Linked DNA regions of Macaca fascicularis. The protein of the gene in region 4 purifies or fractionates together with the protein of the main gene of each other region. This does not show direct contact. Links are inferred from orthologs where the notes say so. Each region holds a gene or a part of one and is shown on either strand. Other genes may lie near its edges. The genes, in order: TRIM33, SMARCC2, SMARCC1, SMAD2, KAT2B, USP15 and SKIL.

The links.
Region 1: the proteins of SMAD2 (region 4) and TRIM33 purify together in Homo sapiens (affinity purification with western blotting; 7 studies listed by BioGRID and IntAct, with this or other methods). This does not show direct contact. The link is inferred for Macaca fascicularis from reciprocal best matches to the Homo sapiens genes SMAD2 and TRIM33.
Region 2: the proteins of SMAD2 (region 4) and SMARCC2 purify together in Homo sapiens (affinity purification with mass spectrometry; 3 studies listed by BioGRID, with this or other methods). This does not show direct contact. The link is inferred for Macaca fascicularis from reciprocal best matches to the Homo sapiens genes SMAD2 and SMARCC2.
Region 3: the proteins of SMAD2 (region 4) and SMARCC1 purify together in Homo sapiens (affinity purification with mass spectrometry; 3 studies listed by BioGRID, with this or other methods). This does not show direct contact. The link is inferred for Macaca fascicularis from reciprocal best matches to the Homo sapiens genes SMAD2 and SMARCC1.
Region 5: the proteins of SMAD2 (region 4) and KAT2B purify together in Homo sapiens (affinity purification with western blotting, with the first as the bait; 3 studies listed by BioGRID). This does not show direct contact. The link is inferred for Macaca fascicularis from reciprocal best matches to the Homo sapiens genes SMAD2 and KAT2B.
Region 6: the proteins of SMAD2 (region 4) and USP15 purify together in Homo sapiens (affinity purification with western blotting; 4 studies listed by BioGRID). This does not show direct contact. The link is inferred for Macaca fascicularis from reciprocal best matches to the Homo sapiens genes SMAD2 and USP15.
Region 7: the proteins of SMAD2 (region 4) and SKIL purify together in Homo sapiens (affinity purification with western blotting; 8 studies listed by BioGRID and IntAct, with this or other methods). This does not show direct contact. The link is inferred for Macaca fascicularis from reciprocal best matches to the Homo sapiens genes SMAD2 and SKIL.

The regions. Positions count from the first base shown.
Region 1 is NC_088375.1:119,977,371-119,981,425, forward strand, and holds part of TRIM33 (E3 ubiquitin-protein ligase TRIM33), read left to right. Parts: intron 1-138; coding exon 139-291; intron 292-1,736; coding exon 1,737-1,787; intron 1,788-1,866; coding exon 1,867-2,079; 3' UTR 2,080-4,055. UniProt on the Homo sapiens protein: Acts as an E3 ubiquitin-protein ligase. Promotes SMAD4 ubiquitination, nuclear exclusion and degradation via the ubiquitin proteasome pathway. According to PubMed:16751102, does not promote a decrease in the level of endogenous SMAD4.
Region 2 is NC_088385.1:62,971,108-62,975,162, reverse strand, and holds part of SMARCC2 (SWI/SNF complex subunit SMARCC2), read left to right. Parts: intron 1-295; coding exon 296-381; intron 382-1,426; coding exon 1,427-1,508; intron 1,509-1,601; coding exon 1,602-1,694; intron 1,695-2,604; coding exon 2,605-2,674; intron 2,675-2,915; coding exon 2,916-2,985; intron 2,986-4,055. UniProt on the Homo sapiens protein: Involved in transcriptional activation and repression of select genes by chromatin remodeling (alteration of DNA-nucleosome topology).
Region 3 is NC_088376.1:110,703,470-110,708,208, reverse strand, and holds the start of SMARCC1 (SWI/SNF complex subunit SMARCC1), read left to right. Parts: upstream 1-1,478; 5' UTR 1,479-1,574; coding exon 1,575-1,769; intron 1,770-4,739. UniProt on the Homo sapiens protein: Involved in transcriptional activation and repression of select genes by chromatin remodeling (alteration of DNA-nucleosome topology).
Region 4 is NC_088392.1:41,926,893-41,930,947, reverse strand, and holds part of SMAD2 (mothers against decapentaplegic homolog 2), read right to left. Parts: intron 3,614-4,055; coding exon 3,479-3,613; intron 1-3,478. UniProt on the Homo sapiens protein: Receptor-regulated SMAD (R-SMAD) that is an intracellular signal transducer and transcriptional modulator activated by TGF-beta (transforming growth factor) and activin type 1 receptor kinases.
Region 5 is NC_088376.1:28,280,065-28,284,119, reverse strand, and holds part of KAT2B (histone acetyltransferase KAT2B), read left to right. Parts: intron 1-511; coding exon 512-626; intron 627-2,178; coding exon 2,179-2,215; intron 2,216-2,456; coding exon 2,457-2,520; intron 2,521-2,616; coding exon 2,617-2,701; intron 2,702-4,055. UniProt on the Homo sapiens protein: Functions as a histone acetyltransferase (HAT) to promote transcriptional activation. Has significant histone acetyltransferase activity with core histones (H3 and H4), and also with nucleosome core particles.
Region 6 is NC_088385.1:69,324,881-69,328,935, reverse strand, and holds part of USP15 (ubiquitin carboxyl-terminal hydrolase 15), read right to left. Parts: intron 4,029-4,055; coding exon 3,934-4,028; intron 3,836-3,933; coding exon 3,644-3,835; intron 2,775-3,643; coding exon 2,659-2,774; intron 2,482-2,658; coding exon 2,209-2,481; intron 1,822-2,208; coding exon 1,751-1,821; intron 1,368-1,750; coding exon 1,252-1,367; intron 598-1,251; coding exon 448-597; intron 1-447. UniProt on the Homo sapiens protein: Hydrolase that removes conjugated ubiquitin from target proteins and regulates various pathways such as the TGF-beta receptor signaling, NF-kappa-B and RNF41/NRDP1-PRKN pathways.
Region 7 is NC_088376.1:81,886,107-81,890,161, forward strand, and holds part of SKIL (ski-like protein), read left to right. Parts: intron 1-653; coding exon 654-747; intron 748-3,619; coding exon 3,620-3,852; intron 3,853-4,055. UniProt on the Homo sapiens protein: May have regulatory role in cell division or differentiation in response to extracellular signals.

The DNA.
Region 1 (4,055 bases), on a different chromosome or scaffold from region 4:
TATGTCTGTATCAAAATTTGCAAGCAGCTGGCTCTATAATAACTTTCTTTCCCCTAAAATTAATATGCTATGCATTTTCAAATTAAACAGTTTGGCATTTTTGGAGAATTCTTATTTGCCATTATTTGCTTATTTTAGATACCAAACTACTATAAAATTATAAAGAAACCAATGGATTTATCCACCGTGAAAAAGAAGCTTCAGAAAAAACATTCCCAACACTACCAAATCCCAGATGACTTTGTGGCTGATGTCCGTTTGATCTTCAAGAACTGTGAAAGGTTTAATGAAGTATGTTAACTTCCAACCTATAGAGTCTTGATTTGTTAGTTTTTGTTAGTTTCCTTGTTTTATTTTTTCTGCTGAAAGACTTTAGTTTTATTAAAATTGTTTTTTCTGCTGTAGTCCTGCTAAACATCTGATTGTATTAACAGCTCCAGTGAAGAAAATTTATTGTGTATAATTTGGAGTATATACTTAAATATAATACATTAAGAATATTACTTTTTCTAAATGAGTTGAGGATTGGCATAAGTATGGAAAGTACTGTCCGTAGTTAAGTATGTTTCGTGGGATATGATTATAAACAGCTTACATTTTGGGTACAATTAGGAAAGTATCTGTACCCTTGTCCTTGCATTTTATTATTGACAACATAAATGTAGAACCTTAAACTAATCTCTGGTGACCTATCTTGAATAGTGGCCCAGAGTATATGATACTGAGTTTTCTTATTTCAGCAGTGTGACTTTCATTAATTTTGGTTATGTTTTTTGGTTTTTGGAGTTTTTTTTGTTTTGTTTTGGTTTGGTTTTTTTTGAGGGTAAGGTTGAATTAGCCATACCTTGAGAAGAAATGTGATATATACCTGTTTCAGGAAAATTGTTTTTATTATCTTAGGGATAAAATCAATTCTGTTATTATTATGGAAGATTTTCATGAGAAGAAAGTGGAATTTAATGAGAATCCACAAAATCTTTTAAAAGATTAATACTAAAGTCTTTTTATTGCTGATGTAATTTGGGTGCCATATGATTATTACTAAAATAAATCACATTGAATCCTGTAACGTATTCCCGTAACTACCTCTGGAAGCATCCAGATGGCATTTTAAAATTGAAAACAAAACAAAATCCTCATAAGGTGAAAATTCTAAGTCACCTTTATAGCAGTATGGCACAGAGTATATTAGTAAAATCTCATTAATTTGAAGTTAAATTTAGAAACTAGTCCCAAATTTTGTCTTATTTTTCAGTGTAGTTAAATTATTTTCAAATAGATATGCTTTCATGAACTATAGTTGATAAGACCCATGTTACCTGCCTCAGTAATAGTTAAATAGTTTATGATTAACATATTGCTATACAGATATAATTTTTATTAAGTGGTTTATTGAAAGTGTGTCAGTTTTTTAAAAGCAAGGTTTCTTATATAATTTGCTTCACAAATATTTTTCTCTTGAATAGATTGATGTGTTCAGACCAATTCCTATTCAGATTGACCTTGATAATTCAAAATAAGACAATTACTGAGGTTTCACAGTAGCTTTAGTAACAGGGCTTTGTAAAGAAAATGGTTCCATGTTCTGTAGAATTTTAGAAAAGCACTTTATCTGGTTATAGCAATTTGTTCTCCCTAGTATGGCTGACTTTTCGTCGCCAATCCTATACAGTCTCATAACTTTAGAAAGGATTATAATTTCCCTTTTTTTTTTTTGACTCTGGTATCCTTTTTAGATGATGAAAGTTGTTCAAGTTTATGCAGACACACAAGAGATTAATTTGAAGGTAAGCTTTTCAGACCATGCAAACTTGGTGAAGGAATATGCATTACCAATAGGTGAATATTCCTATCTTTTGCTTGCAGGCTGATTCAGAAGTAGCTCAGGCAGGGAAAGCAGTTGCATTGTACTTTGAAGATAAACTCACAGAGATCTACTCAGACAGGACCTTCGCACCTTTGCCAGAGTTTGAGCAGGAAGAGGATGATGGTGAGGTAACTGAGGACTCTGATGAAGACTTTATACAGCCCCGCAGAAAACGCCTAAAGTCAGATGAGAGACCAGTACATATAAAGTAAAATGACATGGATTTGAATCAATTGTTAAAAAACAAACAAACAAAAAAACAACCCAGAAAACTTTTAAGTGTTGCTGGAATATCCTGCCTACAGTGGGCACCTCCTTGAAGAAGCTGATAGCTTTTACACAGTATTAGATTGAAATAATGGACAGAAACACATTCTTGTCAAGAAAGGGGGAGAGAACTCTGTTTGCAACTTTAAAAGCAAAAAGCAAAAGTGAAATGATGTGAGGATTTCTGTTCTAATGAGGGTGATTCTCTGTTAGAAATGGCAAATGTTGATGATTGTGTGCTATTGATTGGTGCAGGATACTTGGTGTACGAGTAAATACTTGAGGCTCGTGTCACTTGATAAATTTTCTTTTTGGACTAGGTCGCACAGTTATTAAAACAACTTTTAACCCTCTCTCTTCACACACATACATATCAGGTTGTTTTCTAGTTGAAAACCCAAGTAGCTCAGATTCTACTTTAATGTCAGTGCAGATTTGCATTGAATCATGCCATTATATTTTTTCTCATTTTTATGCTGTTGGGTCTTAGTTTTTAAATTGATATAAAGAACTCAGCAGTGGTTTTATTTTCTACTCATACTTAGGGTTTAGGAAACACGACCACTAGTTATCATTTAATCAACTTCAATGGTCTACTGAAATAAAAATGGTAACTTTTCATTAGTGGATTATTTAGAGTTATAGTAGTCATTTCCAGAAAACACTTACAATTGTACTTCCCAATCAAATCATGTGATCATACAGTTATTCCCATGAAAGGCAGAATGTTTGTTTCAAAATTAATCTAGTTTTCTGTACATTTAAATTTGATTGAGAAGGTGACAACTGGCTCTTTTCCAGTCTTCCTTCATGTCAGTTTTCTGATAGACCACTATTGGCAAACAGTATCTGTCAACTACCAAATGTGTAAAATTTTCTGTATTTCACTTTGTCTTATTTGTAAATAGTGAACTAAAACTTTTGGCAGATCAGCAACATTTGCTGAGCCTGTTTTTTAAGCTAATGTGTATTCTTACTAATGTTCCTATCAAGAATGGATTTGTAATATATTCTGTCTATTTCTAATGTTCACATTCATATTTTGAGGTTCTATCTTATTTTAATAGAGAACAGACTTCTCAAAAAATCTTCAGAAGCAGCTTATTATTGAGATATTGAAATATTGAAATAAACCCGGTGGGGTTAGATTACTCATCTGTCCACCAAGTGGGACATTTGCATGGACTGGGGGCTTAAAGGACTTAGAAGAGACCTGTAAGTAAATCCTGAAAATGAGCCAATCCCCACTTGAATGGTTACTGGAGTAAACCCACCTTTACCACCCCAATTACAGCACCCGAGGCAGATAAATCAACTTGGCTCTGGTTCATTTTTCTTTTCTTCATTTGTGATGCTCAGATTCAAAATGTGTGTTCTACAATGTTACAGGCTTCTCTTTTGTTTGATTAAAGATTTTAGTCCTACTTTTGTATGGACACATTAGAATATACAGAGACCAAAATAGAAGAATTTGCCATTAGATATTTTTCAGAAATCAGCAGTTTTGTGGCAAATCATTTATTTGCCTTTTTAAAAATTCAGTTTAAGCAGTTCAGAGAGTAGACTACTCAAAATTATTTCACATAATTGTCTAAGAGGTCAATATTTTTTAGTGCATATTGAATCAAATAAAGTGCTCTAAAGAAATTATTATACAAATTCCTTTGGGTTGTTTTTCTTTTCTTAACAAGGGGTGGGGGTAAATAGGAATATGATTTAGGCTTCCTGGTTGTGTATTTAAAGAGTATTGATTTTATTATTGCTATTGATTTACTTTATTCCTGGCTTCCTCTTCACTTTCAATTTTTTAAAAATAAGCCTTTGAAAATATACCAAACTGTTTAAACATTTTACTCAAATTTTAAATTCCTAGGAAAAGTTTTTTTATAAGAGGGAGAAAATTATTTAAAAATATTTATGC
Region 2 (4,055 bases), on a different chromosome or scaffold from region 4:
AGAAACCCCCCCTGTCTCTACTAAAAATACAAAATTAGCCAGATGTGGTGGTAGGCACCTGTAATCCCAGCTACTTGGGAGGCTGAGACAGGAGAATTGCTTGAACCTGGGAGGCAGAGGTTGCAGTTAGCCGAGATCGTGCCATTGCACTCCAGCCTGGGCAACAAGAGCAAAACTCCATCTGAAAAAAAAAGAGGGAGATCAGTTCAGCATGGGATTTTGTGAAAGGATTTTAAGTGATGATAGAATTTACAATAGAACCTTGACATGCTTCTTCCGTACCTTGATTTTGTAGATCAAATGTTTCCTAGATTTCAAAGCGGGAGGCTCCTTGTGCCACATTCTTGCAGCTGCCTACAAATTCAAGAGTGACCAGGGATGGTGAGATGATTCTCTCTATTCTTCTTACATTTAGTTTAGAGGAAATCCCTCCTTTTGATTCCCTGGGGTCTTTCTGGGGTAGAAATTCTTGTGAGTCTTTATTTTGCTGGGTCAGTAGACCTGACTTGTTAGGTCAGAAAAATGGTTGGGAGTCAGAGCCAAAACAGTCGCCAAGAGTGAGTGTGTACTCGAGTATCAGTGTGTGTTTTGTAGAGGAAAAGGGATTCTTAGGTTGGCGTCTGAAACCTTTTTTTGTCCCTTTGGAGTAAGCACAGAGAGTGATTCATGGAGTTGAGATCAGTGAACCTCAGATCCCAGGTGATTTTGGCAATAGCTGTAAGCAAGCTTGCCTCCTAATTTCCCATATTAAGAAGTCATGACTGGGTGCAGTGGCTCATGCCTGTAATCCCAACACTTTAGGAGGCCGAGGTGGTTGGATCATTTGAGGTCAGGAGTTCAAGACGAGCCTGGCCAACTTGGCGAAACCCCATCTCTACTAAAATACAAAAATGAGCTGGGCATGGTGGCGGGCACCTGTAATCTCAGCTACTTGGGAGGCTGAGGCCGGATAATGGCTTGTAAAGGGGAGGCAGAGGTTGCAGCTAGCCAAGATCACGCCAGTGCACTCCAGCCTGGGCAACAGAGCAAGACTCCCTCTCAAAACAGCAACAACTACAAAAAAAAGGCTGGGTGTGGTGGCTCATGCCTGTAATCCCAGCACTTTGAGAGGCCAAGGCAGGTGGATCACCTGAGGTCAGGAGTTCGAGACCAGCCTGACCAATATGGTGAAACCCTGTCTCCACTAAAAATACAAAAATTAGCCAAGCGAGGTGGTGTGTGCCTGTAGTCCCAGCTACTGGGGAGGCTGAGACAGGAGAATTGCTTGAACCTGAGAGGCAGAGGTTGCAGTGAGCCAGGATCACACCGCTGCACTCCAGCCTAGGTGACAGAGCAAGACTCCATCTCAAAAAACAAAAGTCACATGCCCTCACCTCATCTGCAGACCTGAGCTATACCACTCACTAGATTATTGCCTCTTCACAAGGCGGCGTTACGATTTCCAGAATCCATCACGCATGGACCGCAATGTGGAAATGTTTATGACCATCGAGAAGTCCTTGGTGCAGGTAATAGGCATATCCCCTATTTATCTCCCTTCCCTCAGTGAAAATCTAAAACACTCCTTTCCCGTGATCTCATTCTATTTCTTTTCTCCACAGAATAATTGCCTGTCTCGACCTAACATTTTTCTGTGCCCAGAAATTGAGCCCAAACTACTAGGGAAATTAAAGGACATAATCAAGAGACACCAGGTAAATGGTCTGATCAGGAGAGGTTTCAGAAACTCCATGACTCTTTTCCTGATGTTTTCTATACCAAGCAGCAGCCCTGAACTACCATGTTTTCTGCTTCAGAGGTGGCTCTGTCTACTGGGAAGACTTGAGTTAAAGCCTTGAGTCTGGCCGGGCGCGGTGGCTCAAGCCTGTAATCCCAGCACTTTGGGAGGCCGAGACGGGCGGATCACGAGGTCAGGAGATCGAGACCATCCTGGCTAACACGGTGAAACCCCGTCTCTGCTAAAAAATACAAAAAACTAGCCGGGCGCGGTGGCGGGCGCCTGTAGTCCCAACTACTCGGGAGGCTGAGGCAGGAGAATGGCGTGAACCCGGGAGGCGGAGCTTGCAGTGAGCTGAGATCCAGCCACTGCACTCCAGCCTGGGCGGCAGAGCCAGACTCTGTCTCAAAAAAAAAAAAAAAAAAAGCCTTGAGTCTGTCTTTTTCTGTCTACTTCTCCCATTTTTCAGTCCTGACAGGTTTGCATTACTGTTCCTAGAGACTTATGTTGGCCTGGGGAAAAATAGTATCCACTTCTATTGAGCTAGAGATTGCTTGATTTCAGATAAATGAAATCCCTGCTCTTTAGAACTTTATAATAATGAACAGATGTCATTGATAAGGACGTACAGTTGACTTTAAATTTCCCATGTGTAGATTATCTGTTCAGAGGATTATTTGTAGCAATTTTTAATTCTTTGACTTTTCTCCATTATTAGCACAATCCCAGCTGTTTCCCTCTGCCACTTAGCTGGTGTGTGCTTAGAGAATGCAAACTAACTTTAATACTATTATAAGCAAAATATGATTAGGAAGGCAGCTCTGTGGCTAAACCTTGAGTAATTCAGAGGGGACCGTAATTTACCTGCTTCTCCTTGTGCCATCTAGGGAACAGTCACTGAGGATAAGAACAATGCCTCCCATGTTGTGTATCCTGTCCCGGGGAATCTAGAAGAAGGTGAGACCTGGGTTTTCCTGGCCACTTGAGTGGATGGTTTGGACTAGGAGGCAGAGGACTAAGATCACCATTCAGTACCTGGGCTCCTCTTCTTTCAATCTTGAATCCTCCTAACACCTTAAGTTCCTATTACCAAGTCCCCTGCTACAACAGGAGAGTGCATTAGTTAGGGCTTATGTACAGTATTTTTTTTGTGTCCCTCTTTAGCTTATATCTCTCCCTTCTCTTCCTCTATCCCCAGAGGAATGGGTACGACCAGTCATGAAGAGGGATAAGCAGGTTCTTCTGCACTGGGGCTACTATCCTGACAGGTGAGGATGGGTTCCTGGGGCAGGTTTAAGTATAAGAGCCAGACCCAGAAGCCCTGGAACATCTAGCAGAGCAAGAAGCCACTCGTTCAGAGTTATTTTTAGATCACTTAATTTGTTCTCCTCTCACCTATTAAGTGAACCTCAGTCTTGGGGGAGGTTTGGACTTAGTGAACAAGCCTTGGGCTAAAACAATTGAGGCTTTATGTATGAATTGATTATCCCCACATAATTTTTGATAAGTAAATGTTAGAAACAATCTAAATGTCTAACAGTAGGAAAATGTTTCAGTAAATTTGTATATCTACTCAGTGGGCTATTATGCAGCCTCCAAAGTGATATAAAATAACATGGACAATTTATAAGTGAATATTATTAATAGTTGCAAAAAGCAGCATGTAGGCCCGGCATGGTGGCTCACGCCTGTAGTCCCAGCACTTTGGGAGGACAAGGCAGGCGGATCACCTGAGGTTAGGAGTTCGAGACCAGCCTGGCCAACATGCTGAAACCCTGTGTCTAAAAAAAAAAAAAAAAAAAAAAAAAAATTAGCAGGGCATGGTGGCGCACGCCTGTAGTTTTAGCTACTCGGGGGGCTGAGAAGTAGTATAATCGCTTGAACCCGGGCAGCAGAGGTTGCAGTGAGCCAAGATCACACTGCTGCACTCCAGCCTGGGCGACAGAGTGAGACTCTGTCTCAACAAAGCAAAACAAAAAATAGCACATAGGCTGGGTGCAGTGGCTAATGCCTATAATCCCAGCACTTGGGGAGGCTGAGGCGGGCAGATTGCTTGAGCCCAGGAGTTTGAGACCAGCCTAGGCAACATGGTCAAATCCTGTCTTTACAAAAAAAAATACAGAAATTAGCTGGGCATGGTGGCACACACCTGTACTCCTAGCTACTTGGGGGACTGAGGTAGGAGGATTACTTGAGCCCAGGAGGTTGAGTCTGCATTGTGCCATGATTGCACCACTGCACTTTAACCTGGCCAACACAGCAAGACCGTGTCTCAAAAAAAAAAAAGTAGTGTGTAAAATATCATCTAGTATGATTATGATTATGTAAAAACAAAATT
Region 3 (4,739 bases), on a different chromosome or scaffold from region 4:
ATGCACCACCACGCGTGGCTAATTTTTGTAGTTTTAGTAGAGACGGGGTTTCACTATGTTGGCCAGGCTGGTCTCGAACTCCTGACCTTGTGATCAGCCCACCTTGGCCTCCCAAAGTGTTGGGATTACAGGCGTGAGCCATCTCGCCTGGCCCTCCTGATCACATTCTATTCATTTTTTTATTTAATATATTTTACTGTCCGTGACACAGCCCTCAGGAGATCCTGAAAACGTACATACCCTCATTTTTAAAAGGTCTCAAAACCTTATCAGCAGTTAGTCACTTTCTCATAAGCAATTAGTTACTTGCTTCTCTGAGATCATATAGCATTATGTTCACAACTCCATTATGGCCAGTCGTACTTTTTGAAACAGGGTTTTGCTCTGTCGCCCAGGATGGTGTCGTGAGTGGCGCGATTATAGCTCACTGCAGCAGCCTGCATCTCCCCAGCTCAAGCGATCCTCCCACCTCAGCCCTCCAAGAGGCTAGGAGCACAGGCTTGCAACACAATGCCCGGCTGCTTTTTGTACTTTTTTGGAGAGACGGGGACGGGCGTGGCGGTCTAGAGCTCCTGAGGTCAGTCGATCGTTCCGCCTCAGCCTCCCAAAGTGCTCCACGCCCGGCCAATCATACCTTGATAATTTAAAAATTTTCGGCTTCTATATGGGCCATTCATTAATTCATCAAGTATTCACTGTACATGTATTCATTGTCTCAGGTGTTCAGGATACACCTGTGAACAAGTTAAGATTAGGTTCTCATGTAATTTATGTGGAAGGTAAATGAGAAACTAAAAACACCGGGTCATGGTAAGCGCTACGCAGAAAGTGTATGGGTGTGAACAGTTCAAGATTGTAAGATATGACAACGGCTTTCTGAAGTCCTTTGAACCAGTGAATCTGAACGCGTCTCATAAGTGAAAATCAGAAGGGAAGACCCGCTGAGGTCTCCGAAACAGCCGATGCAAGGGCCCGTGGGGGCAGGAATGAGCCGCTGTGGCTGGACCCCTGAGGGAGTGGAAGGTCTGTGAAGCCGAAAAGCCTTGGCGTGGGCGTCCCAGATGGCTCTTCCCAAATGCCGCCGGGCCGCTGGGGGTGGAGGGTCTAAGGGAAAGCCGGGCCCGGCGCACTCGATACCCTAGGCAGGCTTTCCCCTCGGCACTTCTCGCACCAGACCTTTTCCCTTCAGCGGAGGCAGGCTATGACACAGAATCAACCTGCGGTTGTTAACCGCATAACGATTCGACGTCGGTAGCGAGGGAAGAGCATGGCTCAATAACCGGCACTCACTAGGGGAGAACGGAGCCTACAGAGGCTGGCGGAAGAGGCGGCTGGACGTGCTAGTCCAAGGCGCGCCCGCACGAGTGCTGCGCATGCGTATGCGCGGGCTCGCGTCGGATACGGCGCCAGTCCCGAGAGGGGGCGGGGCCGGGCGTCCGCACCGGAAGGGGGTTGGCTGGGCGGGGCCGGGAAGCGGCAGTGGCGGCTACGCGCGCGCGGGCGCGCGCGGGAACGAACGGGAAACACCGCGAGGGCTGGGGTGGGCCAGGCTGTGGGGACGACGGGCTGCGACGATGGCCGCAGCGGCGGGCGGCGGCGGGCCTGGGGCAGCGGTAGGCGCCACGGGCTCGGGGGCCGCGGCGGTAGCCGCAGGCCTAGCCGTTTATCGGCGGAAGGATGGGGGTCCGGCCACCAAGTTTTGGGAGAGCCCGGAGACGGTGTCCCAGCTGGATTCGGTGCGGGTCTGGCTGGGCAAGCACTACAAGAAGGTGGGTTCGCGCGCCCATGGGGGCCGGGAGACCACGCGACTGGGGCCGGAGGCGGCATCTGGCCTCGCGGGCCTCGGGCCTCCCCTCCCCCCCGCACGCCACGAGGGACAACAAAGGCAGGCGCAGGGCCCGCCACGCCCCCGCCGTCCGCTCTGGGCGCCCGCGCGCCGGTGGCCTGACGGGTCAGGCGCTTGTTCTTGTGAGCCCACGCACCCCTGGCGAAAGCCCCTGCTCAGTCTCGTGTGCCAGAGCAGGTCGAGCTCAGCCACTAGGCGAGTGTGACTCTCTTTTGTCAGCTGCCTTAGGTGTATGAACAATGATCCCTAAAGACCGAGCAAGCGTGGTAAAAGCAGCTTCAAGTTTTGTTTAGAGAGTATTCAAAGTCTCGAGGGGGTTTGCTACCTGTTGTTGATTTGCTAAACGACTGGGATGATTGTATTCGTTAATTACTAACAGGTAATGTGAATTCTAGGATGGATGAGAGCTATTAACGACGGTTTCTACCTCATTGTGCTTCTGGTTCTGTGTGGCGTGAGAGTTAATGTTCACTTGTACGTAAAGTGTTCTTCAGGGAGGCCTTCCGAGAACCCAGTTTTTATTAGAGCACTTTTCTTATGTCACCTTTATTTTCTTCGTAGTGTTTACCACATTTTGAAATTAGTCATTTACTTATTTATCCTACCTTTGGAATGGAAGTTCCGCCGAGTCAGTAGTTTTCAAAGTTTTGACTTAATCCCTTGTTTATAACATTTTTTTTTTCTCCAACTTCCCCTTTGTGTAAATATTCCGGAGAACTCCCTTAAAGGGTGTAATGAAGCAGGTAGTCAAAAAGGCTCCCCAGCCTCTGAAGTTTTCCTATCACCCTCTTTAATTCTGTACTTTCTCCTATTGAGGATCATAGCACTGAAGAAAGGGCTTTGTTCACTACAGTGTATCCGGGAACGTGGCTGATACTTAGTGCCTTACCCTTAGTAGCTGCTTAGTAAATATTTGTTTAATGAATGAAAAGATAAACTAGGAACCTATTTATTTGGCCTTTACAGCTCAGTGAAGCCTGTCAGTGTTTGGCAGTTATTAGGCATGGGCAGGGATCTTGGGTTCCTTTGGCATTACACGTGGTACATTCGGAAATGACCATTTCTGGCCGGGCGCGGTTTGGGAGGCCGAGGCGGGTGGATCACCTGAAGTGAGGAGTTCGAGACCAGCCTGACCAACATGGTGAAGCCCCGTCTTTCCAAAAAATACAAAATTAGTCGGGTGTGGCAGCACACGCCTGTAATCCCAGCTACTCGGGAGGCTGGGGCAGGAGAATAGCTTGAACCTAGGAGGCAGAGGCTGCAGTGAGCCGAGACCGCACCATTACACTCCAGCCTGGGTAATAGAGTAAGACTCTGTCTCAAAAAACAAAAACAAACAAGCAAAAAACAAACCCCAGAAATGACCATTTCTTTCTTTCTTTTTTATTTTGGAAGTTCAGCTGGGAAAAATTACATTTCTTGTCTGAAGTTTGAGGAAGTGAGAGACAGTAATTATATTTTTAGGTGCTTGGACCCCCCCCCCAAATTACATTTAGACTCTAGATGTTTAGTAATATTGCCCTTTCTTACACAGTGATAAATTGGTCACTTTTTATTTTATTTTATTTTATTTTTGAGACGGAGTCTCGGTCTGTCGCCCAGGCTGGAGTGCAGTGGTGCGATCTCCGCTAACTGCAAGCTCCACCGCCTCCCGGGTTCACGCCATTCTCCTGCCTCAGCCTCCCTAGAAGCTGGGATTACAGGCACCCACCACCACGCCTGGCTAATTTTTTTGTATTTTTAGTAGAGACGAAGTTTCACCGTGTTCGCCAGGATGGTCTCGATCTCCTGACCTCGTGATCCGCCCGCCTCGGCCTCCCAAAGTGCTGGGATTACAGGCGTGAGCCACCGCGCTTTTTAAACGTAGGTAATAGAGCTTCCAGGAGTGGCTAGTGGGATTGAATATGTTATGAAAATATTGGTTAATTCTTTCTTATTACATTCCTTTTAGCCAATGCTTTGGGTCTTAAATTCAGTGAAGCTTTAACAAAGAAAAATAATCTAGAGATGTTCCTTTGAATATCAAGGAAGAGAGTAGAAAAAGGCAAATTTCAGTAATTTCTACCTCTCCACACTGTTCAGTGTGCATCAGTTTGGGACCAACTACAAGAAGCTTTAGGTGTGGATAATCATCTTCAGATATTTGTTTGGGTGGGTAGGGAAGTGGCTACAAAGCAGTTTGAAGAATTGCCCAGTAGTATTGAGACCACTAGGCTAATGTTGATTCACTATCCCTGAGACTTTATAGACAAAGTTGTCTTTGACTTCTCAGGACTTTGTAAAGCCAGAGTGTATTTCTGTGGTCTACTGAGATTGAGAATCATATATGCCCTAGGCCTGACAGCCAGAATCTTTTCAGTCTCTGGGTGTTAGTGTCGAAGTGGTGAAAATATTATCAGAAGGTTCTTTGCTTCTTTTCTACACAATGCATTTCTATTTGTGTACACATTGGTTTTAACTAACCGTTTCTAGTGCATGTAATACTGCATTTTCAGAGCAGACAACAGTTTCAGTCTCAGTAAACATGATTTTGCTAGTGTTGTTTTTTATTTTTATTTTTATTTTTTATTTTTATTTTATTTATTTATTTTTTGAGATGGAGTCTCGCTCTGTCGCCCAGGCTGGAGTGCAGTGGCGCAATCTGGGCTCACTGCAAGCTCTGCCTCCCGGGTTCACGCCATTTTCCTGCCTCAGCCTCCCGAGTAGCTGGGACTACAGGCGCCCGCCACCTCACCTGGCTAGTTTTTTGTATTTTTATTTTTATTTTTTTTGAGACAGTCTCGCTCTGCCACCCAGGCTGGAGTGCAGTGGCCGGATGTCAGATCACTGCAAGCTCCGCCTCCTGGGTTCATGCCATTCTCCTGCCTCAGCCTCCTGAGTAGCTGGAACTACA
Region 4 (4,055 bases):
CAGCTACCAATGAATCACTCCAAATAACAAATAACAACATTATATAACATTATTACAGAAAGTAATATTGCATACTGAAGGTGTATAATTCAGGATCTTGTCCAAATTTTGCAGTGAATCCTTAACATCTACTTTTAATAAAATCCTACTCTCTGGACATATACATTATTTACATATCTCGCTCATTCCTGTATGTACATATTCTGTGACAAGAGCCAAAAATGTAACTTCAAAAATGCCCCAGATCTGAATCAGTAGGCTGCAAAACCACTAATAACTACAATTTTTTGTTGTTGTTGTTTAATCTAATGAACATCGTTATTTTATGAGTACTTAGAAAATAAAAAACACACACAAGATTTTGGATTATAAAAGTATTAAATAATACAGCTTACAACTTATACTAAGTTCTATAGGGTAAAATATGGTAGTATGGTTCCAGATTGGTCCAGACTGAATTCTACCTAAAAAGTATATTTCTCCAAGGATTCCCAACTGGTAAAGTCTAAGTGTTTGAAGCAAAAAATTCAATTCAAATATAGACTACTGTATAAAGAGGTAAAATGCTCCCCGAAAATAAACTTTAGGATTCTAACATGTTATTTCCACCATGTTGTCTGAATAAAACATTTATATTCAGAAAGGCATCTGAATAGCTGAAAACACTGCATGTAAAATAAAAACATGTATACAATTACATCAACTGTAATTCCAAGGAGGAAAAATAAGTTCAAAAGAGTTTCATCAGTTCAACATTTACACTGCTGAACACTTCTGAGCAACTCAAGATAACACAGACACATATCCAAACAGAATTTTAAAATTATCAAAAGACAGAGGCCAGGCACCATGGTTCACACCTGTAATCCCAGCACTTTGGGAGGCCGAAGTAGGCGGATCACCTGAGGTCGGGAGTTCGAGACCAGCCTGACCAACATGGAGAAACCCGTCTCTACTAAAAAAAAAAAAAAAAAAAAGAAAATACACTATTAGCCGGGTGTGGTGGCGCATGCCTGTAATCCCAGTTACTAGGGAGGCTGAGGCAGGAGAATCATTGAACCCAGGAGGTGGAGGTTGTGTTGAGCTGAGATCACACCATTGTACTCTGGCCTGGGCAAGGAGCGAAACTCCATCTCAAAAAACAAAAAACAAAAAACAAAAAACAAAAAAAAAAGGAGAGAGGGAAGATACAGGTTAAGGGTCTCCTTCAATAACCTTTTACAATATCTATTCAATAAGCTAACCACAAACTTTAAGTATCAAACTTTTCATTTAAGTGTCAGTACCCCAAAATTTTTAATACAAAAATTCTAAGAATAAACTAGCTTCATATATGCAAACAATAAAGAACATAAAAATAAGTGTATATATCATTACGTATATTTTAAAAGTTAAAGCTAATAAAGTTAAATGGTGCTAAGCTTTTTGAGTTTAACCAGTATCTGAAAGATCTAATCAGAAAGAAATGCTGAACCTTAAAATACGTTATCTTACTGCACTTTTTCCATTGTAATAAATAATAAAGCTATTAGCATTTTTGAGAAAACGTTAAAATGTATTTTAAGTGGAATAAAACATGAATCCTTTGGTTTTGCTGTTGCTTGAAACTGGATAAAGCCCCACTGTCCAGAAAAGCAAATGGGTATAATCCACTTCTGATTTTCTACTTTATAAAATACTCAAATCTAAATAATTAAAAGAATAAAAAAGACAGGAAAAATGAGCCCAAACATCTTCACGAGTGAAAGCCACTAAACATTTTGGTGAATATCCTTCCAAATAATTACTGGATATGCATGCTGTAAGACTGCATGCTTATACCTAAGGTTAGTACTGTTGGCTGAAAAACGGTAATCTCCACACTAACGACTTAAAATGCCTCCCTTTCCCCACACCAACGTTCACTAAACTCCACTCCCTTTCCTACCTGGCAACTGCCCTGTTTCATAGTCCCACGTTTTCCCTCATCCTAGTATATCACACTATACCCCACCTTCTCCCTCTCTTAACTTCAGTAAGTTTGTATTTCCTAGCAACCCAAAAAGCAGCTTTAAATCCTCTTCTGGAATAAAACAGTAATCAAACTAAAACAATCAAAAACCACTTCCCATCTGTAAAACTAGCTATTAAAAAAAAAAACTTATCTTTCTTAGTTATCTTTTCTTATCTTTCTTTTTTTCTTCCTTACATTTTAAAAATTATCTTCAATGCGGCCGGGCGCGGTGGCTCAAGCCTGTAATCCCAGCACTTTGGGAGGCCGAGACGGGCGGATCACGAGGTCAGGAGATCAAGACCATCCTGGCTAACATAGTGAAACCCCGTCTCTACTAAAAAAATACAAAAAACGAGCTGGGTGAGGTGGTGGGCGCCTGTAGTCCCAGCTACTCAGGAGGCTGAGGCAGGAGAATGGCATGAACCCGGGAGGCGGAGCTTGCAGTGAGCTGAGATCCGGCCACTGCACTCCAGCCTGGGTAACAGAGCGAGACTCCGTCTCAAAAAAAAAAAAAAAAAAAGAAAAGAAAAAAAAATTATCTTCAATGCATAAGCATTATTTCCATGATGGATACATGAAAGAAATAATTGTTTAAATGTATTAAAACTGTATTTTAAAAATTTTGTAAATGCTCTTAAGTTCCTTACATATTTTTAGTGTATAAAATAAGAGTGGAATAGAAGAATATTACAAAAGGAAGAAAGAAATCAAGACACGATAGCTTAATCTAATCCTCATCCTAACATCATGCTGTTTCTGCTAGGGAGAAAAATCAATCAAACAAAACAAAAAGGAAAACATACAAGAAAAGTAACAAAATATTAGTCGTTCTCCAAAAAAAAAACCATAAAAAACAGAAAGGCCAGATATCGTATCGTGGAGTATTACTGAATCACACAATACATCAGAACAAAATTTGAGAACCATGTAGCTGAATTCATTTTTCATCAGGAATCACTAAGATGCAGACGAAACATAATGAAAAGAGGTTTTCTGATGTTCAGTATAATATGTAAGTGCTGCTACGTCTACAGAACTAAGTATTATATTTCTTACAGAAATGTTACATTTCTGTTAAATATTACCAAGTTACCTAAGAAAAAGTGATCACTGGGTGAATTTTCAGTTACATGTGTTTCAGGGGTACTTTTTTCCTACATCATTTGTTTTGCTTACATTCTGCATCTCGCTTAGCTTCAACAACTAAGATAAACTTACTAAGATCTTTTCTTTTCTGCTTCTCACAGTACTTTGATTAAAGTCACTGCAAAAGAAAATGAAATATAAAGTAAAACTCTTCTCCAAACAAGTTTAATGTACTAGGCTTATACATTTCACAAAATAATCACCCAACAAATCCGATTTTTCTATTAAAAACTCAAAAGCATTTTTAAAAAAGTGAAACCACAATTCACTAATACTTCAATGCTTATGAACAACATTTGTATCTATCCAAGTTTTAGAAGATTCAGAAGTCAAACATACCTGGAATATAATTACTCTGTGGCTCAATTCCTGCTGGGAAGTTAGTGTTTTCTGGAATGGAGTGAGTATAGTCATCCAGAGGCGGAAGTTCTGTTAGGATCTCAGTGTGTCGGGGCACTAATACTGGAGGCAAAACTGAAAAAGTTCAAGAAAGCCTAGTTATGGCAAAGAGCAAAGGGGAGTGGGGGAACCTTTTTTAAAGTTTCAACAAGAAGAAGAGAAGTTGCAGCTTAATTTTTAAAGTTAGGGTCTGACAAATCTGATTACGGCTTTAACTTATGTAGTCTATTATCCAAATTTCCAAGTTCTAATTTATCTCAAACTTTTGGAAACAATGTGATCCTGGTAATATATTACCATAAAAGTTCATAAATCCCCATTGGAAAAATTAACATTGTCTTTATCTGTACAATCAGATATAGAAAAATTTCCAAAAATACAGCTACTGCTATATTTTTTAATAGTTTCAGGTAGACAGCTAACTAAATGAAGCCTTATTACAAGCTTTACTAAACAGCGTATATACAAATGATGTCATTAAAGTACTTCTAAAAGCACTCCAAGTGCAAAATGCTTG
Region 5 (4,055 bases), on a different chromosome or scaffold from region 4:
TGGAGCTCCAGCCTTGAAAAGTTTATATAGTAAAGCTTTAACTACTGTAGGCTTTGGGGACTTTCTGGGGCCTGTTTACCTGCCTCTCTAGTCTGAAGGGAACAGTTCCTAGTTATGGATGTGAAGAGATTCTGTCACTTGACTGAGTAGTGAATGCTCAGGGCTGCTTTCCTGTGATTCTGGCAGAGCCTCCTCAGAGAGGCAGGGCAAAATAATTGGGTGTTATGCTACAGATGACAAGTGGGCCCTAGGGGCTGTGTGTTTTCTCAATATTGGCTTTTCTGGATGGCGGGGACAAGTAACTCAAAGATGTTTTTGTGAATGTCACTAAATAGACATGGTATAATATAATCTGTTCATTTCTTACCTGTTAAATAGCATTCACCCCTTTCTCCCATCTCGTTTCATAAAAAAGACTGTTTTGTTAGGAAAACATTTCATTAGGGTGACTGACTTGAACTGTATCCATAGACTTCTTTCCCTAAACACATTTCCTTCTTGTGCTTCACAGATAATTAAAAAACTGATTGAAAGAAAACAGGCACAGATTCGAAAAGTTTACCCTGGACTTTCATGTTTTAAAGATGGAGTTCGACAGATTCCTATAGAAAGCATTCCTGGAATTAGTACGTATAGACCTTCTTTTAAAAGCGAAATTTTTTAGTAATAGTGTGATTTGTGTTTGAAACAATTTCCAGAATGCAGTAACTTGGAAAGCTATATTGCCCTGCCTGTCTCTGTGTTATCTCTAGTCTTTTAAGAAAGGCAGCAAATGTCATCGTTTTATGTCTTCCCTACCACCCAATACAAACAAACCAAAGGGAGCTTAGATGCCCCCTTGTAATAGCTGTTAATATCCACTGTTTATTAAGAGTCTGCTATTTGTAGCACAGTGCGAATTATTACGCATATGCAACCTTGAAAGCAGGGAATCCTATTTTATAAATGGGGAAATCGAGTTCCAAAGCAGTTAGATCATTTACTGCTAAAGGGCACATAGCCAGTAACGGTCAGAATTAGAAGCAGCCCAGTTCTGATGTCCAAACAACTTACTGTTTGCACCGTGTCTCATTGCCACCAGGGTTTTAACCTCCAAGGTCTGTGCTTGACTAAACTAGTCTCCCCAAACTTCCAAAAAATATTATTTGTTATGTGTGATGGAAATTGTATACCGTGTTTCATATTCCCTATTTTACAGTAGTTTTCCTAAGGGTTCTTGGCTGTATGTTAGAGTTGAGTTGTATTGGGTTAAACCATACCAAATAGTTGTTTTTATAGGTCAAAAGCCATTGAATATCATTTGGCAATTTTATTCAGTTCAAATCCAAGTTCTTTTTAGTATATTCAAGCATTAATAAAAAAACCAAAATCAAACAAGCAAAAATTTTCCAGAAAAAATAAAATGTTATTTTGGCAAGATATATCACTTTATGACATCTGCCCTATGGGAGATCTTACTTTTATGCTAAATCCAGAAATTCTCCTTCCATGTATTATCTCTGTTAATGACATAATAGCAACCAGATCATTGAATGCCTACTTGTGCCACACATTTTTCTGTGCTTTTTTTTTTTTTTTTGGTACATCAACTACTCTCAATAGGGATAAAACCACCTGATTTTTAGGGTTCTGTTTTATAGATCGATAAACTGAGAGACAACTTACTCTTATTTAGGGTGAGTTACCTTTTAAGGAAAGAACAGGAAATCACATCCAGATCTGTCAGACTCCAGGCTGTTTTCTATCTGCTACACTAAACTTTCTTGCATTACAAGCGGGGCCTTAGCCAAATAGAACAGAGACCAGGACAGAGTTTGTTCTGACCTAAAATAACAGCTTAACTCTTTTACAGGGTCATCTGCAAAACATTTGACTTTCAGTTTAAAAAATACACATGCCCACAGTACTGTACATATTTATTTTTTATGCTCTCCACTGAAAGGTTGGTGTTCCTGCTTTAAAAACAGTAACATATGGGGCAGTGTTGTTAGTCTTGGAAATGTTTTATATTGTTAGCGGTATAAGGAAGTAACTAATTGCCATTAATTTCAGTCTTTTCTCAGAAGTAGATTTTTATTGAGGCATGCCTGTAATTTATTGTTTTTGATAAGTATTAACTATGTGACTCTCTTGACCAAAAGCACTTCTCATTCAGTGTTTCATTTTGTTGACCTATAGGAGAGACAGGCTGGAAACCGAGTGGAAAAGAGAAAAGGTAAGTATGACAGGCAAAAGGATGTTAATGGAAGTGATTATTTTCCCCCCACCCAGCAACTTAAAGAAAATGGGCAAACTAATTGTAATCACTCACACAACAGTTGGTGGGTTTTGAGTTTCCTAAAACATTCTGGAATGGTTCCAATTTTAGGTTTTTGTAAGAATGAGCTGAATAGTAATCAGCTGGCAATAGGGTATAAATCTAATCATTGCTCCTTGTTTCCCTTTTTCCTTTCAAGTAAAGAGCCCAGAGACCCTGACCAGCTTTACAGCACGCTCAAGAGCATCCTCCAGCAGGTGAAGGTGGGTGTCCTCTTTATTCACCTCATGCAAATATTTTGAAATGATTTCCCACATGGAATTTCCATATTAGATACCTTACTTTTTTCTTTACCCAAGAGCCATCAAAGCGCTTGGCCCTTCATGGAACCTGTGAAGAGAACAGAAGCTCCGGGATATTATGAAGTTATAAGGTTCCCCATGGGTAATGCCATTAACATTTTCTAAGTATAGATTTAAAACTGGATGGCGGTGTGGGGGACAAATGGTTGCTGAGGTTGATTTGTACTCCTCTGTTTAGGGTAGGAAGTGTATGACGGGTGGTGGGATTCCACGCACCGTGGAGGGGCAGTGATGGCAGAGAAGTGGGTGGCTGTGTTCATTAGAGACATTCTGCAGCTGTCGTTTAGAGCCCACACGAGCTTAACGACACTAGACACAGAAAATCCAGGGTAACTGCAGATAGCACTAGGTATGAAAGCTGGTACTTTAGATATAACTTTGCTTATATTCTAACTGTTTGGTGCAAATAGAAAACATCAGCTTATCCTCTTGATATGCTTTGAGTCTGTCGTAAATAGGTATTCCTTTTCATAATTATTCAAGATAATAATGAAAGAAGTTAAACTACTTGACTGCTGTCCTTTCAGAGGGAGAAATTCTACTTACCACAATTCTGAATTTTCCATGCCCTTGATGGGTACTGTTGGTGTCACTGTATATACTCTTTATTTTAAGCTTTGTCTCATATCCAAAATCAAACAAAAAAGGATGTCTTCAGAAATGTAGAATTGTGCAGTTTGGTGCTTTGCCCACACTATGCTAAAATGAATGATTAATTGAATCAATTGAGAACGCTCAAATTAAACTAATTTGGCATGTGGGGTGACAGACAGCTAGCTGAAATGTTTTCTTTTTATCAGCTACGTGGCCATATTTTTGGAGAGAGCCAGAGTCTTCTGTCTCTTTTCTACTTGTAATCTATTCCAGGTGCTAAGAATTGTGGAAGTCCAGCCTGGGTAAGGTAGTGAGACCCTGTCTCTACAAAAAGTAAAAAATTAGGTGTAGTGGCACACGCCTGAGGCCCCAGCTACTTGGGAGGCTGAGGTTGGAGGATTGCTTGAGCCCAGGAGTTTGAGGCTGCAGTGAGCTGTGATTGCACTACTGCACTTCAGCCTGAGTACTGGAGGGAGACCCTGTCTCAAAAAAAAAAAAAAAAAAAAAAATTATGGAAGTATTAAAAATGTGAAAAGGAAGAGTGAAAGGGATGCATTAGCTCCTTGATAACTGAGTTATTTATAGGTGTTTTCTATAGCATTTAAATGTTTCACATGAATATTTTATATATTTATAGTAATGATTTCAGTAGCCTACACCCCTTAAAGTGGACACACATCTATATGCTTTTCTTTCCCTCTTCTCTCTGCCTTACCACTATTTATTTCAGTACAAGAAAATAAAGGGTAGGGTTGAGTCAGTCTAGAATTCTGAATGGAAGGCTGATTTGGGAATCAGTATTGTCCACTATGTGCAAAATATGTTAAAACTCTTTGTGTCCA
Region 6 (4,055 bases), on a different chromosome or scaffold from region 4:
GAGACTCTGTCTCAAAAAACAAACAAACAAACAAACAAACAAACAAACAACAAAAAAAAAACCACCAAGAAAACCCAACATATTTAGAAGTAAGTGATGAGTAATGATGAAATAATTCCTAGATAAACAAAATTACTAAGTACCATAAAGTATCTTAGATTTATAAATGAGACCAATTAACCCATAGGTAATATAACACAAAAGGAGTTTTATTGTTTTTAGTTTTTAAAAGTATATTTCCTCTTTGGTCTTTGGAAAATCTCTAAGAAAAAATAAAAATTTTGAAACACTGATCCTTATAAATTGTTAGAACTACTCAAAAACAAACTTGAAAGCTGAAATTGGATCCAATGGCACCTGATATTTACTAAAGGATAATAACAAAAAGCATCAAGTAAATTTGAAAGAAGAGTTGCTCAATACTTATAAAATACAATTAAAGCTTACTTGATAGGGAAATCAACTAAGGTATCCAACTTGTCTCTCATGTATCGACTGTAAGAAAATCGCTTGAGATGTACTACAAGTACTGGAGGCAAGGACCATAAATCCAATTTCTTTGTGGCTTGCTGATGTTCTTTACAATTCGGACAATACCTAAGAATAAAGAGAAGTATTTAAAGCTTGATAGAGGTACAAACAACCCCCATTAATGAAAATAACAAAAAATGTTCGGAAAGTTCTACATTTATTCAGTGGGCAATTATCGTATGCCTAATATGTACCAGGTTGAAAGCAACTCTTGTTATTTTTATTTTCAACACATTTTCCAAAAAGGTTAAACCATTATAAATTAATATACAAACCAATATTTAAAGACATAATGAGGGCTAGATTATTTCTCTTTTAGTATGCAAAAAAGACATCTGTGCTGGAAGATAGGTATTAGAAAATCTCAAAACTGGGCTCTAATGGAATAACATCACAAAATATATCACTACACTTTTCCTAAAAAGCTTCTCTCAAAATGATTACGTAGCTAAAATTTCTTGGAAAACAAGTAACTAAAATGAATTATTAATAGTATAATGGCTATTAGGAAAAACACAGTAATAAAATTAAGGCAACACTGTAACAGTATTTTTTAAGAACTTCCTATCCCTCTTAAAAGGCTACCACTTATATAAAGAATCCTTTACTATTTAAAACATCAAAGAGAATTTAGTAATTACTTTTTCAAGTTAATGTGGCACGTATCTCAGAATAAACCCTTAAAGAAAACATAAACAATTATTTAATTTTGTCTCTTACCAGGGATCTTCAGCACCTAGCTTTTCTTTTGTTGTAAAAAGTTCAATGCAATCTTTTAATTTCACAAAGGGTTTTTTAGGAGGTTTATACTCCACACTTTCATGTTTTTCAAAGTCCTAAAGAGAAGTATTTCTTGAGTTAAGAGAACAAATGAAACAAAACTCATTTTAGTGGTACCATCTTACTATGAATAATAATGAAAACTCCTAAACTTTCTCAAAAGAATCATAAAGCTTATTTCAGTTGAGATTTATATCATACTTCTAAATAATTCCTGTACACTCCTATATGGATGAGCAAAACATGTTCAAAATGAACTCTGAACCTTTGGGGAAAAAAAGGTATTTTTGCAAAGACTTTCTTTTCTAGTTCATGACCACTTTTTTACTGGCAAAATGAACATTTGGTGGAAGCAAAGAATGTAACACAACAGTATGATTATCTCTGGTAATCACATAAAGTAAATCAAGGAAAGGTAAATAAGTGAGTGATGACTTACCTCAGCAGCATTTTCATCAAAATATCGTTTTTTCAAATCAGGATCCCAATCCAAAGCAAGAAAAGATCTTTCTAAGGTGGAAAACATATTTTTTCTTTAAAATTTAATATGTCTTAGTATTAAAGTATATTTTAATGTTAGGATATACACTAGAATAAATAAATAGCAATCTTTTCTACTTGTACAGGTGATTAGGGCAAATAGCAGTTTCCAAGCCATTGAAATAATTTAAAAGTTTAAAAAAAGATAGAAAACTTAAGCATGAATTCAATCTCCATTTATGAAACACAGACACACATTTTGGTCTACTTAGATATTAAGTCCTTTCATATAAAATTTGAGATAGAAAAGTAAATGGTGTATTTCTTGACAGGGCTGAATTTCATGGTTTTCACCTAAAAAACAAAAAAACATGCTCTGCTTGTTTAATGTTCAAGCCATTTTTCACAAATACTTACCATCTAGCCTAAGCTGCCTATCATCAAATCTTATATGTCTGGTATCATCTTTGATGTAGTTGATATCAGTATTGCCTAAGTTGTTGAACTGGAATGTAAACAATCGTTTTTTGTGTCCCGTGAGTTGACCTTTGCAAGTGTCCTCAGTACATAATCCATTTTCAGAATCATTATCTCCTCCAACTGAATCTTCAGACTGACTGTTTTCATTCTCTGAGGGAAGTTCTTGATCCTGGCTGGATTCATCATCTGGCTCATCTGTTTCCATTTCACCTAATTTTAGATATTAGAGAACTTTAAATAAACTCAATGTTATATTTTTAAATTATTAATATTATTAGTCGTAGGTTTGCAGGTATTTTTTAGCTCTTTAATTCCCATTTTCTTAACTTTCTCTCTGAAGCAATTATTTAAGTGAAACATTTTTATAATTTAACAGAAAAGTCTTACTTGGTGAGCCTTCTTCATGTATGCCATTTGGGCCATTCCCATTAATATTTTGGTCCTTACAGCAGTGTAGGGATCCTTCAGTTTCTTCAGTTTCAGTAGATATTTTGACATATCGGCTTAAGTAAAATCAGAAATCAAACAAGTTCAGTACTACAAAGATAAAAACTTTAAAAATGTTTTCATTCTATCAGTAAAACAAAACTTTTTAATGTAACAGTGGTCACTTAGTAGATTCAAGGTTAAAATCAAACTTACAGTACCATACATATAGCTGACTAATAATTTGTTTTGCTCCTCTTTATAAAAATAATTAGTACGTTACCTTTTAGGTTAAATGTTAAATATTTGTTGCAAATAATTTCTCAACTTATCCTCATTTAGATGGTATATATTGTTGCTAAAAACACTTATTTTTGTATAATGTGATCTTTACATATGGGTTATGAAACCATAATAATTAGATATGCAAGAAAGAATACTAAATATATCAGCTTTCAAAGATAAAAGGGATCAAATGACATTCTTGATAACTTTATAATTCAAATAAGGGGATTTAGGAAGGCAAAAAATAGGCTGCCTTACAATACTATTAATCATGAATTGGTAATGTATATAAAGAAATGAAGCATTTGACATTTGTCATTTCACAGTGCAAACATATAGCATTTGACATTTGTTATGATTTCACAGAACAAACATGTAACACATAATTATTATAACATAAATTCCTATTTCCTTCCAACTGTAAACTTTTGGCCTAAAATTGCTACAGACTTCATGCTTCCTGGGTTTGAAATTACCTCCATAATGTGTTTTACGTGAATAAGAAAGTGGATTAGGACTATAATCTGACTATAAACAAAACTGAGACAATACAGACTTGTATAATTATATTCTGATAGTACCTTGTGTGTTTATTTTTATTAGCTATTTTATATTTTATTCCCATATTTATTTTGTCAATGTAGAATTGTTTGGCACTTACCACATTCTCAAGAGCAGGAGATTATAAAGTTTGTCTTCAGTATTGTTTCGTGGTACAGCCATAAGAAAAGGCTGACCAAAAAGTGAAGAACCAGTATGGTGGGTATAACTTGAGTGTCTGAATTTTTCTCTTAGGCAAACAGGAATAATCACATGCTCTGTATCTTCTGTCCTATTGATGTTAATTTCAAACCTACAAGGACAAAACTGACCATAAACTCTCAAAATTTTAGGTTACTTCTTTTGATTTTTTTTTCAAGTAATATTTTGCACAATGAGTTTTATACTTACACATAAATATCATCCCGTTCCATAATACTACTAAGGTTTTCATCCATAGCGAATATTCTGTGAAATCTATGATTGTATATATCAGTAACTATCATCTAAAAGGAAATAAATTTCTATTAAGC
Region 7 (4,055 bases), on a different chromosome or scaffold from region 4:
TGAGCTGAGATCTCGCCACTGCTCTCCAGCATGGGTGACAAAACGAGACTCTGTCTCAAAAACAAAACAAAATAAATAAAGAAAATAGATTTCATAAGTATGAAATTTGTATGAATCATTTCTGGCACTCCACATTAACATGTGTCCTGAAACTGTTCTTGTGATGGGATAGTTTATGTGGGTGTCTCTGAGTTTCAGATGATCAATCAGGCTTCTTCAAGGGAAGACTGCCTTATTGGAAGATGACCCTTGAGACAGGGTCTCACTCTGTTGCCCAGGATAGAGTGAAGTGGTGCAATAACGGTTCACTGCAAGCCTCAACTTCCTGGGCTCAAGGGGTTCTCCCACCTCAGCCTCCCAAGTAGCTGGGACCACAGGTGTATACCACCGCACCTGGCTAATTTTTTTTCTTTTTTTTTTTAAGAGACTGGATCTTCCTGTGTTGCCCAGGCTGACTCCAGGGCTCATGGGATTTTCCCCACTCTGCCTCCCAAAGTGCCGGGAATACAGGTGTGAACCACTGTGCCTGGCATGATGACTCCTAAATAATGTTACTTGTCTTTACTCAGTGGCCCAGTCAGGTTGACACATAAAATGACCTTCACAGGTTAAACTTCAATAAATGTTTCGCTTCCATGTTTTTCTGCAGACAGATGCACCATCAGGAATGGAATTACAGTCATGGTATCCTGTTATAAAGCAGGAAGGTGACCATGTTTCTCAGACACATTCATTTTTACACCCCAGGTAAGTTGGTATTTATTTGTTTGTTCGTTCATTCATTTCATTCAGCAACTGTATACCACGCACTATTCTAGGACATGGGAATTAATTAATTAATTAATTTATTTATTTATTTTGAGATGGAGTCTTGTTCTGTTACCCAGGCTGGAGTGCAATGGCGCAATCTCGGCTCACTGCAACCTCCGCCTCCTGGGATCAAGCGATTCTCCTGCCTCAGCCTCCCGGGTAGCCGGGACTATAGGCTCACACCACCATGCCCAACTAATTTTTGTATTTTTAGTATAGACGGGGTTTCACAATGTTGGCCAGGCTGGTCTCGACCTCCTGACCTCAGGTGATCTGCCTACCTCAGCCTGCCAAAGTGCTGGGATTATAGGCATGAGCCACTGCGCCTGACCAGGAATTTATTTCTTTATTTGCAGGCTTTCTTGTTAATCATAGATTATCTTTGAAAATTCCAAATTATTTTTAAATAAGTCCGTTGGTATTTAATGTATTTTTTGGTTTCATTTATCATTATAGGGAAATTGTAGACGAATTGTGTTTAGTCACTCTTACTAGAAAAAATTCAAAGAAAGAATCTAAAATGAAATTAATTATAAATTGCACTGAATATTTTAAATAACCTTTACTATGTATTTCTATGTGTTTTCTAGAAATAGGTCATTTTCTTTTTGCCCTCAAGTAAAAAATGAAAGTTCTTTAATTTCTTACTTTTCTTCAAGAGGTAAACCAACTCTTCAAGAGTTTGGTGTACAACTTTGATTTTTTTTGAGACAGAGTCTCACTGTGTCACCCAGACTGGAGTGCAGTGGCAGGATCTTGGTCCACTGCAACCTCCGCCTCCCAGGTTCAAGCAATTCTTCTGCCATGGCATCCTGTAGCTGAGCCTGAGCGCCAGCTGCCACTTCCAGCTAATTTTTTTGTATTTTTAGTACAGACGGGGTTTCACCATGTTGACCAGGCTGGTTTTGAACTCCTGACCTCAAGTAATCTGTTGCCCTTGGCCTCCCAAAGTACTGCTAGGATTATAGGCGTGAGCCACCGTGCCCAGCTGCGACTTCAACTTTTTTTTTTTTTTTTTGAGACGGGGTCTTGCTCTGTTGCCCAGGCTGGAGTGCAATGGTGCGATCTCAGCTCACTGCAACCTCCGCCTCCCGGATTCAAGCGATTCTCCTGCTTCAGCCTCCTGAGTACCTGGGATTACAGGCACCCGCCACTACACCCAGCTAATTTTTGTATTTTTAGTACAGACGAGGTTTCACCATGTGGGCCAGGCTGGTCTTGAACGCCTGACCTCAAGTGATCCACCTGTGTCAGCCTCCCAAAGTGCTGGGATTACAAGCATGAGCCCCTGCACCTGGCCTGCAACTTTGATATTTTAAAAAGAAATTCTTTTGAAACTTAGAGCTTTCTTAATAACCACACTTCTCAAAATCAGAGTTTTACTTTTTCAGTAAACGTGCACCCTAGATTTTAAGTTTTTCTTGTTGAGTCCTAGATTTTTATCTACTAGTGTAAATCTGTATTCCCTCCAAGCATGGTGACAAAGAGACCGAGTCTTATTTACGTTTGTACAATCACTACTTTACCTGTTGTATTTGCAGTAAGTCTTTTGAGCACTATTAAACCTGTCGGTTTTCTTGTCCTGTCAGAAAACTGAGATTTTGGCTCAAAAATGTATGTTATTAACAAAGGGGAACAATATAGATGTCATGTACAAAGAAAATGAAATATAAGAGGAGATTGTCTGGAGTTCAGGGGATGGAGTGTCAAGTCTTAAATGGTTGCATCTTTTTGCTAAGTGTTACTCAGAATATATAGTTACAAATATGTAGCTGAAATCTGTTCCACGAGCGTCTCAGATGTGTCTACTGGGCAATTTTATGTGAGTTTTGATCAAAATTGGTAATCTCTTCCATCTTAGTTTTGCATAATATATTATTGACATTTTCTCAAATGAATAGAAAGTAGTGAAGCATTTTAAGAAGATTGCTCAGTGGGGTTTGATATAAGAACTGCCCAGTAGCTGGGTGGCATTCAGAGTGCATATTCTGTCTCTGAGGTATATAAGAAGAGCCCTGGGAGCTCCTCATTGAGCCTCTTGTGAATCAGTCCATAACCTTGCAGTCTGCAACTGAAGCAGCCTCACCAAAGCAAAGAGCCAAGATTCCCTGTTTAGAAGGGTGGTGGGCAAGATAAAGTCCTCCAAAGTAGTTATAGATGATTCTCTTTCTGGAGTAAAACTTACCTGCTCAGAGTTGTTACACAGATGTATAAAGTGCTTAATGCTTATAGTTCTGGGGTGGTTCTGAGGGAAGGAGAAGGGCCTGTGATTTTCTTTCTGAGTATCTTTTTAGTGCTTATAAATTACTTGCCAAGAAGAAAAAAAAAACCCACGAAATTATTTGCAAGCTGGTTATGGTTGCTTATGCCTGTAATACTAGTGCTTTGGGAGTTAGAGATGGGAGGGTATCACTTGAGCCCAGGAGTTCAAGGCCAACTTGGCAGCCTAGGAAGACACCATCTCTAAAAAAAAAATGGGGATGTGTCTTCCCAGCTACCTGGGATGCTAAGGCAGGAAGATTGCTTGAGCCCAGGAGTTAGAGGTTACAGTGAGCCATGATCACACCACTACACTCCAGCCTGGGTTACTTGCAGACTAACAAAAAATCCCTTATAATTTTGTTTGTAATGCCTAAAGTGCTGATTTTTTTCCTGAGAATTCTTCACTGTGACCTTTATTTTCTGAGTTGTAATATTGTCTGTTTTGGTTAAAAAAAAAGTTTAACCACAGAAATGCATGTTACATATTTGATTTTTACTTAATCGTAATATGTAATATATGTCTTGTTTTGCTTTTACTTGTTTTCAGCTACTACTTATACATGTGTGATAAAGTGGTTGCCCCAAATGTGTCGCTTACTTCTGCTGTATCCCAGTCTAAAGAGCTCACAAAGACAGAGTCAAGTAAGTCCATATCAAGACAGTCAGAGAAGGCTCACAGTAGTTGTAAACTTCAAAAAACAGTGTCTTATCCAGATGTCTCACTTGAGGAACAGGAGAAAATGGATTTAAAAACAAGTAGAGAATTATGTAGCCGTTTAGGTAAGTATTCAGAGATTATCTTTCTAAAATTAAATATCTAATGAACACATTTATTCAGCATTTTCAAACAGACTTTTTGTTTAAGCTAAATTTTCAGATAATTAGAGCTTTTACCTTTAAAAATGCTACCCTTCAAAACTCTGGGTGATTTATTTTAATCTCAGTTGCTATACTTTTCTAGCGTGGTGATAGCTCAGGAGACT